2 linked regions of the Drosophila melanogaster genome follow. The protein of the gene in region 1 interacts with the protein of each later gene in a pairwise test. Each region holds a gene or a part of one and is shown on either strand. Other genes may lie near its edges.

Region 1 (4,208 bases):
ATTTTTCCTGTGGGTCACAATCACGATGGTCTTGTGGCACCTCTTTGGGTTCTTGCACTTCCGCTTGGGAATGCGGGTGTGGCACCAGTTGTTGCCCCTCCAACAAAGCTTTTTGTGAGTGGAAGCGGCCGTTGTTGTTGTTGTGGTCGATGCTGCAGTGGTGGTTGTTGTTGTGGTGGTGGCATCAGTTGTTGTTGTATTACTAGAAGATGAAGCCACCTGGATGGCCAGGGCAATAAGGGCAACCACGAACAGGTATTTCATCTTTGATGTTATTGTTGGTTATGTTGGTTAGCTGGCAAAGCAATTGATATTAGACTTGGCTTAAAAGCGGCGAAGGGCTGTTGTGATCAACTGATGTTGAAGTCACCCCATTTATAGTTCTCCAGTAATTTCCGGATTTAGAAAACTAGTATTAATTTGATTTCCTAACTGATCACAGAAATTTAAATATTTGGTCGTAAGACACCAGCTTTGAAAGTTTAATGCTGTAGCAAATATTTGCTTCACACAAATGACAGCCCAAACTTATGCTATAGTTTATTTTTGTTTATTATATATTTGTTTGTCATGGTAAATTGTCTAAGTATTATGTAGATATGGCCTCTATTTTGTTGTGCATTTCAGTACGAAACTGCGTGACGGATGCCATTTCATTTTGGTCCTTGAACTTAGTCATTAGACTCTGCCAAATAGCTTCGAATTTATCAGTTGTTACGAGACTTCTAAAGATACGTTCGATTTCCGCTTTGGGCCGCAAACAGGTGAAATCACTGTGAGTAAGGCCACGTAAAATGGCCAAATCCGGTGTTATAAGATCCTTGGCAGTTGTTTTATTCCCTTCGAGATTCTGGCTAATTGCTCCCGTATTATCCTTTGACTTGTTTTGAAGATCGGCGCAGAGCAAACGATATGTGGTGTCCAGACAACTAACATCGGATACATTGGTCAAGTTTCCCGTTTTCGGCAGAGAATTCTGAATCGAGAGAAGTCGAAAGAAATCTACATAATTCACCCGCTCCGTGGCACAGCCCTCGTCCACAATCAGCCGAAAATTGGACAAGGCCAGACGGATTTTTTGCGCATCCAGACGGATGTGAAAACTTCTGAAAATTTCCAAGATGCGTGCCAGTGGCAAGTGACCCGTTCCATCCGTGTCACTCCTCTCCAGCACTGAATTTAGTGCGTACTTGTGAAATTCCAGCTGGTTCCTCAAACTATGACGTTTTTTGTTCAAATAGCGTATGGCATCTAGTAGCCGGTTGGTTTTGTAGCAGGGTTCAATATTATTTAGCAGCATCTTCACATCGCCATTGCTGCGCAGAGGAACACCGAAAGTTATGTCGGGCACCGCAAAAGTGTACCTACAGACAGTCTAAAACTATTAATCAAAATCTATATCTATCTATACTTACTTTTTGTTTCGCATTCCGAGGGGTGCCTCGTTTCGATCCATAAAGTCCACTTGCGCCTTGCCAATAACCTTCAGGTGGTTCTCACCTTCCTCCAGACATCGCTTCACTTTCAGTCCAAAATCGCCGTGAGTATGTATATCTCCACAAGGTGATTTTCGATCAAATGGTTGGGCATATCTAAAAAATATTTAAGACGTTCATTAAATATGCACCATTGCATTTGTAGTGACCAATAGCTTGACCTGCGGTTAACCTGCTCCGAAGGAAAGTAGTGATTGTGGCTGATGATGTACTTGTCGTGGAAAGCCTCGTACTCCTTATTAACTTGCTCCGCCGACTTGGCCGGCAATATGACGTCGTAGAGACATTCATTTTGTGATTGACTCGATGGACTTCCGAAGGTTTGGCTTATATTGGTCACGTCTTCCGGTTTGGAGTACGTTTTCTTGACCCCACCCAAAGTGGCCTTTTTGAAGTACATTTCCTCGTAGAACTTCTCCTTGAAGGACATAAAGCGCGACTTTTGCAACTCGCTGGTGAGCAAATCCCGGATGCTGCTGCTGGGTTGAACGGAACCGGCTGGGAACTTCTGGGATTTTTTATTGATCTGCCCGTAATTGCGCCTAACTAGACTCTCAGCCAATTCTTCTGGATTGCTAATACTAAGACAAACTTTTACACCTTCCGCTCCATCTAATCCACTGGTGGACAATCCTGCAGTCGGTATATTTGCATTTCTGTCTATAAAGTGTCCCTTATTGGCCATGTTTATGAGTGTATTTATGTATATAGTGTGGGTTCAAGTGTTTTCAGAGTGCTTATACATATTACTGAGTGATAAAGCAGAACATCTTAAATAAATAAATAATTGTATTTATTGGTCTTGTAAATGAGTATGTTTACATGTCAAATAATTTATGGCTTAGTATTAGTTCAACTTTAGCTAGTCGTCTAGTCTATTGTACATGGTACTAGTACATCATTGCACGTCTCTCTCTGGCCGCGGAGATGGCATCTGTTTTTTCAGTACAGGTGGTGGTTCTTGTGCAGGACAAAGTCCCAGGTATCCTTCCATCGAAGACTGCGAACCTCATTTAAAGTCATTTTTCTCGCACCATAACTGAATGGTATAAACTTTGAGAAAATGCTAAGCACGCCCACCAGCCACAGGATTAGCATGAGGCGATAAAGGCGCACCAGATGGACACCACGTCCGGTGCAGAAGCGCCTGAGCAGATAGTCCAAATGCTCCACGACAAAGCACAATAAAAGTAACTTAAACACAAAGGCTGGCAAGTAATTGTGCAGGAAGAGTGTACGATCCACACAAAAATACGGAATATAGTGCATCACGTAGCCCATAAAAAAGGTGTCACCAGCTAATACGAATCGCTGCCACTCTTGCTCCGAAATATCAAAGCAAAGACGTTGCCGCCGCATCGCGTAGAAGGCGAGTAATCCGGCATAGACAAGTATTCCCATGGTGGCTGTGTACCAGAGTAGTATGTTTCCCAGCAAATAGATCTGCGCACTCGACTGTGAGTCCAACCAATAAGCGATGCCCTTGTCCATTAGCGGCCACTCGTGCGGCATCGAGCTGTACATGTGATTTGGCACTGACTTCGTTTGGAACAGCATCTTGGATTGTAGCTCCAGTAGCTTGGCCCAGAACGAGATGCGCGTCCGCTTTGTGGGTATCATCTCGGCAGTTAGCATCTGGCGCTCTCGCTCCCGATGATCCTCAGCTATAAAGGGTTGTAAATGAGGATAACGTATTTCTTCAAGTATCTCGAAGAGGACTTACTCTGTGTATAGCGGTGCTCCTCAACATTCCAAATGGCATCCTCATGTATTGCCTTTTCACGATCCGCCACCACCTCGTGCTGATTGAAACCCCATTCGGGAAGTTGGCGCCCACTGAACTTCAAGGAGGCTTCTGTGGACACGTGAACGAGGCGGACCTCCGACTTGATGGCATGCCAAATGTCACCTTCGGAATCGCGATTCAGAATCTCCACGCGCCACAACAGTTCACCGGCCATTTTGATCTCGTAATCTATGTAGCAGCTGACTTCTTGGCACTGCGGCGTCATTGCCGCAGCCACATCGTGTGAGTTCAGAGCTCGGCTCGTAATTCCATGGACCAACTGAATAATTTCACCGTGCCGAATGATATCCGGCTCATCACCCACCACCAGGTTCTCCTTTGTTGGTCGCTTAACCAGCCACCAGTTGTTCACATCCTTGAAGGAGTAGCAGGTGACCTGCTGCTGGTGGGAGGAGCCTCTCTTGTCCGGATACCGCACCGGATAGACAGCTGCATGCGAGTGCAGCCAACAGGTGCGTCCGTGGGTGTGTCGTAGTGTGATTTGGGATCCATGAACCACTGCCAATGGCTGTCCTTTTGTGATCGATGCCAATCCTCCATCTAACGAGGCCTGAAACGCGCTAGTCATGATGCTATCATGCGGTCCAGCCCGGTGCAGCGTCTTGAAGTGGATATAGAAGACTCCCAAGTAGACCGCCAATGGAATTCCAACAAAGATTAACAGGCGACTTATGGCATGCATCCATAGCTGGCGATCTTGAAAAAAATGGTTTTATTTTGATTTATTCAATCTCTATTATTATATCGTAAATCGTATTTGTAAATCTCAGAAAAAAAGGTATCTTACCGGTGAGACCGGCGTCGTAGAGCAGTTGCCACAGGTGTCGACACAGCAAATAAAAGGCTAGCCCCAGTGCCAAGAATCCGACGTACTTGACGGTTCCGGCGGCTCCCAAACAGACGGC
Region 2 (5,025 bases), on another chromosome or scaffold:
TAATGTGGGTATAACATATAGGTTATGCAAGCTGTTATATAGATTTCCCCTACCTTTTCAGGATGTAACTTTTCCCACATTTGTGGCCCACACATTTCCAGGTGTCATTCTAGCAGTTATTCAAAGTTGTGTGTACCTGCGCCTCTTCTATCACAATATCGATGCACTGCGTCTCAATGAGCCCAAGGAGATGAGTGAGCTGCGTAGGGAGATGAAGGTGTGGCAGAGAGCCTTGAATGCAGTGGCCTCCTGTTCCAAGGATGCCCAGCTGGTGAGGGGAACGCTCCAGGCTAAGATTAAGCAACTGAAAAGGACCCTTAGAAGATTGCAAAAAGGTGTGGGCTCCACGGAGGTCTATACGAATACGCTGGACGAGCTCAAGCAGAAAGTAAGTGGATTTACTGAACTGGGATCTTTATAGCTGAGCAATCCATTTCCAGTACCCCATCAAAAACAAGACGCTGCTTTTGCAATCCGCTGGAGCCCTACTCTTCGTCATTGTTTGCTTCTTCATCCAATCCGTGCCGCACTGGAGGACATTACCCCTGGGTTGGGTGGCCCTGCTGGGTGTGATCCTGCTGCTGATCATCCTCAATCGCGATGACATGGAGCACTTGATGCACCGCATCGAGTGGACCACGCTGCTCTTCTTCGCCGCCATGTTCGTGATGATGGAATGCGTGGAGAGATTGGGAATCTTCGCCTGCATCAGTGAGCTCACCGAGCACGTTATCCTTTCGGTGGGAAAGAGTCATCGTCTGGCCATGGCCATCTTTATGATATTATGGATGTCGGCGCTGGCATCATCCATATTGGATAGTATTCCGGTGGCAGCCATAATGGTGAAGCTGGTGACCTCTCTGGTGGCCAAGCCATCGCTGGGACTGCCCCTCCAGCCACTGGTTTGGGCTCTGACCCTGGGCGCTTCGATGGGCGGAAATGGAACGCTCTATGGCGCATCAGCCAATGTCATTGCAGCCGGAATTGCCGAGCAACATGGCTATAAGTTGTCCTTCACCCGATATCTGAGAACAGTTTTTCCCATGATGCTGGGACAGATCACCCTGATGACTGTCTATCTACTGGTGGCGCATGTGGTCTTTGAATGGCATTGAGACTCCCTATTTAATACACATACTGAATAACATATTATTGTATCTAATGATGGAAAATGTTTTTCACTTCGAATCTAATCGTGTGTTTTTTTGTGTGAGTTTTACTGTAGTCTTTGTCCTTTTACATTCGCCTCTTGATGTGTTTCATGTGTTTTTGGCATATAAAATAAGAATATTTATATTTAAGCGTTCATTTGTGATTGGCAAATGTATAAAAATATACCATAAATATAAAAGTACACATGGTTTTTCGTTCGCCTTCGTGGAATTTGGCTGGACTGATGGAAATCACTTTTGGTAGTCCATCAAGGCGGTGTTTTTAATGTCGTGTGAAATGTTATAAATTTAGACTTTATTGTCTAAGGTCGAAGTGGGGAAATCGTGAAAATTCAACAGGCCATAAATACAAAACGAAGGAAAATTATAGATTTGATTTTCAAATTTCAATAAGAGGCAGTTCTACAAGTATTTAGATACATTTAAAATTCGAAGCGATGTCTGTATTTTAGAGATTTCAAAGCACAATATAAACATATAATAAGTTAAATTATAAATATCATAATTCTCGTGTTTTCTAGTTTATCCCATATGCACCTTGGTTTGGAAAACATAAACAAACGTAAATAATTCCTGAGACTGACCATTGCCAAGTTCAATGTTGACCAGAATATCCGCATATGAAAGTGCTTGCATGTACATATACATATATATTAAAAGCGAGTATATAGCATATAGTATATGGAAAGAAGACAACTGCTGGTCAATAAATGAGAATAAGACAATGTGGAAAAGCAGCGAGGGATTTCCTCGGGTGGTTGTTGCTATTTATTTGCTCTGCTACTGCTGCGCTTTCCACACTTTCCACAGCGCTCGTTCCATAGGTAAATTGTATTTTAAGTTCACAAACAAATGGCCACGAGGGATTGCGAATGGAGGAGGTGAAACGGAGGACCCGACCTGTCCGCCATGTGGAGAGGAGACTGCCAGCAGTTTTATGGCAGCCGCGAGAGGGAAAGTCGTGCCGACAACGACTGACTGAATTTTAATTAATTTGCGCCAAGGAATAAAGTGAAAATTGGAAATTGGCTTATTTGGCCCAGACTGGCCGCCCTGCAGGCCAAATAAAAATGTGATAAGCGTACGAAATTACGCCGAAATCGAGTTGGTTTTTTTTTTTGTAAGGTGAACCAAGATGACATCTCCCTATGGATACAGTAAGCCCACCTTTATGATAACGGACCACACTCGCGATCCGTATCATCTGCAGCCGGGTGATGACGACGACGATCGGGATGAGGATGAGGAGCGTCAGACGAAGCTGCAGGAGATCATCAGTTGGCTGCACTTGAATGCCAAGCATCGCAGCAAATGGTAAGTCGGCCGCATCAAGTATACGCCGCGGGTGGCCCATGCAAGTCAGCTTATATTGATATTAAGTATACGCCCGGTTGGCCACCGCCACTCGAAGTTTGAGTTGTTTATTTGCCCGGTTCCGTTTTCTCATTAGCCTGGCATTAAATTGTGCTGCAGGAGATGATGGACCCAAAACTTTTCCTTTTAATGTCCTGCTAAGCTTCTTAATAACGGTCCATTGGTTGCGACTTGTTTGTTTTCCGAGATGAAATCAACTCGAGGACATTTTGTGGATTTTAAGCCGCTGAGAGCCGCAACAGATGGTTTCCATTGAGATTGATTACAATTTATTTGTTTTTTAGTTGAAGCAGACACAGCAGTTTGTATATTTCATACTCCATATGCGTTGGAATTCCAGCAGAGTAATAAATGCGCTTTTCTTCGAAACTCTGATTGAAATGATACTCCTAATCCGAATTAATCATGTTTTTGTTTTGTTAGGGATTTTTTCCATTAGCTTGTGGTTATAACAAAATGCCAGGCACGAAGGTATTGTTGTATGCAATTTGTGTGAATAATTCGAAGAATAGTTGGCATATACCCATTTCCAATCCAAGCCAATCTTTTGTTCGAGCAATTCGCTTCTGGGAACTACCATTCGATATAGGTTGCTTATAATCGATAATGTAATACCTTGGACACGTGCAAAATAAACTGAAGTACGCAGTGCAATGTGGAGATTATAAATAAACAATGGGGAATAAATATTGACTTGCGTTGCATTATATTATTTTATTTATAGTTCTCTATTTCCGTTGGCAAATACGTGGTTCAGCAGCCTCCGCAGCTGTTTGTAGGTTTTTTTGTATTAAGTTAAGCATTCGAATTAAGTGTCGTATTCAAATTAGTGCACTCACTCCCACACAAAAATTATCGGTGTAGTGAAAACCTAGGGTAATGCGAATTACATACGCAGTTGGTCCTCAATTAAAAGTTCCGCCTTGTTAATTAACAATTAAAGGGAAAACTCGAGACGGTAAATCACTGAGTTCTCTGGTTTATAGCGCAGTTACACTTGGTTGCAATAGAGAAGGCTGCTCATAAATATACAGGGTGTGTGGAGTCGACTTACATACTTGGGAGCATTATAAAGCATTCATAAACAACGAATAATAAACAACAAAATATGTACAATAAGCAACAGAATTTCATACAGAAAATGATATATTTATATAAACTTAACGATTTTTCTTATAACTAGTTTCCGGGACACCCTGTTTCCATTTGACATATTCTTGACAATCAAACCTGAAGTGAGCTTAGCTTATTATATAAGCGCTCGTTATTTACATAATTATTGTTTATTTACTCACGCTGAGCATTTGTTGTATACATCTACGTCTTGACCATGTGTAGAATCCACTAAGTACTGTATGCATATTGGTTGCAATTAATTTGCATTTTTGCATTGGCTGATACCAAGTAATTACAGCTAACACATCGATAATTGCCGTTGGCCAATTGGCAAAGTTTATGGATACTAAAGAAAAGAGGGAAGGGTTAAATACAGTTGGGATTATGGGCTATAAGTTATTCGCACTGACAGCTAAACACTTTGATGTGGCTGCCCATTTTTACGCTGACTTTCTGACAAGCAAATGAAAAGTCATTCAGTAGTTTCAAGTCCACCCAGAACCACGTGATCCCTCCACGGAACATGCAACCCAAGTTTGGTGGTCCCACGATGACATACATATATGTATGTAGAGATATGTGTGGAAACTTGTCAATGGTTTGTTGGGTGGGTAGCTTGGTGGCATGAAGGAGGTGCGAATAACTATCCCTGTACATGAGGGTTTTCCGCTCACAATTTTCCAACAAACTGTAAATACACTTTTTCTGGTTGCCAAGGGATGAGCTTAGGGGCTGTAAAAGTTCCGGCTTGAATTTGGAATGTACTATGTGTCTCTATGGGGGCCAACCTTTGAGGCACAATTGAGTGGAAATGAATTATGTATTAGTTGTTATTATGAAATGGAATGTACTCAATAGCTTGGCTTATGTGGTATTACAGTTTTCAACCAACTATATTAATGTATTAAGAACGGAAATGTTAAGAGAAAGTAACTGCTGATAGCATTTAACCCATATAACTCCGAATCAACTGCACCCATGCCCCATATTATTCAGATGGATAAGCCGCAGAGACCTTGGGCGAAGATACAATTGTTATTGGAAGAAACACACCTATTGCGTCTCACTGTGGATATCATCAGCGTTATTATTACTATTATTGCCATCGTCTTATTGAATGTGGGTGAGGAAAATTGCGGAATAAAAGAGCATTAATATTCCAGCTTTAAAGTCGCTCAAATGTCAAACGGCTCGTGGCGAGAAATAATATATATATACACGAGTTCACTTTGAGTTCCTTGGAGTGTGTTTGCGTTTCATTGTCCGTGGCATTAGGGTTTTTGGGATTCGGATTGGGTCTCGCATTTGGATTGAGTTGGGGCACAGCAGAAGCTGTTTGCTGATAAACTCGCCTTTTGTCTGC

What was found.
Region 2: the proteins of CG32086 (region 1) and hoe1 interact in a two-hybrid assay, tested with the Drosophila melanogaster proteins (one large-scale study listed by BioGRID).

What each region holds. Positions count from the first base shown.
Region 1 is NT_037436.4:11,581,853-11,586,060, forward strand, and holds CG32086 (uncharacterized protein), read right to left. Parts: upstream 2,213-4,208; 5' UTR 2,182-2,212; coding exon 1,658-2,181; intron 1,593-1,657; coding exon 1,416-1,592; intron 1,365-1,415; coding exon 590-1,364; 3' UTR 549-589; downstream 1-548. Other genes in the region: CG33269 (uncharacterized protein), read right to left, coding at 1-264; rt (rotated abdomen), read right to left, coding at 2,439-3,160, 3,220-3,999, 4,091-4,208.
Region 2 is NT_033779.5:4,929,375-4,934,399, reverse strand, and holds the start of hoe1 (hoepel1), read left to right. Parts: upstream 1-2,015; 5' UTR 2,016-2,307; coding exon 2,308-2,486; intron 2,487-5,025. Other genes in the region: hoe2 (hoepel2), read left to right, coding at 1-4, 62-388, 441-1,115.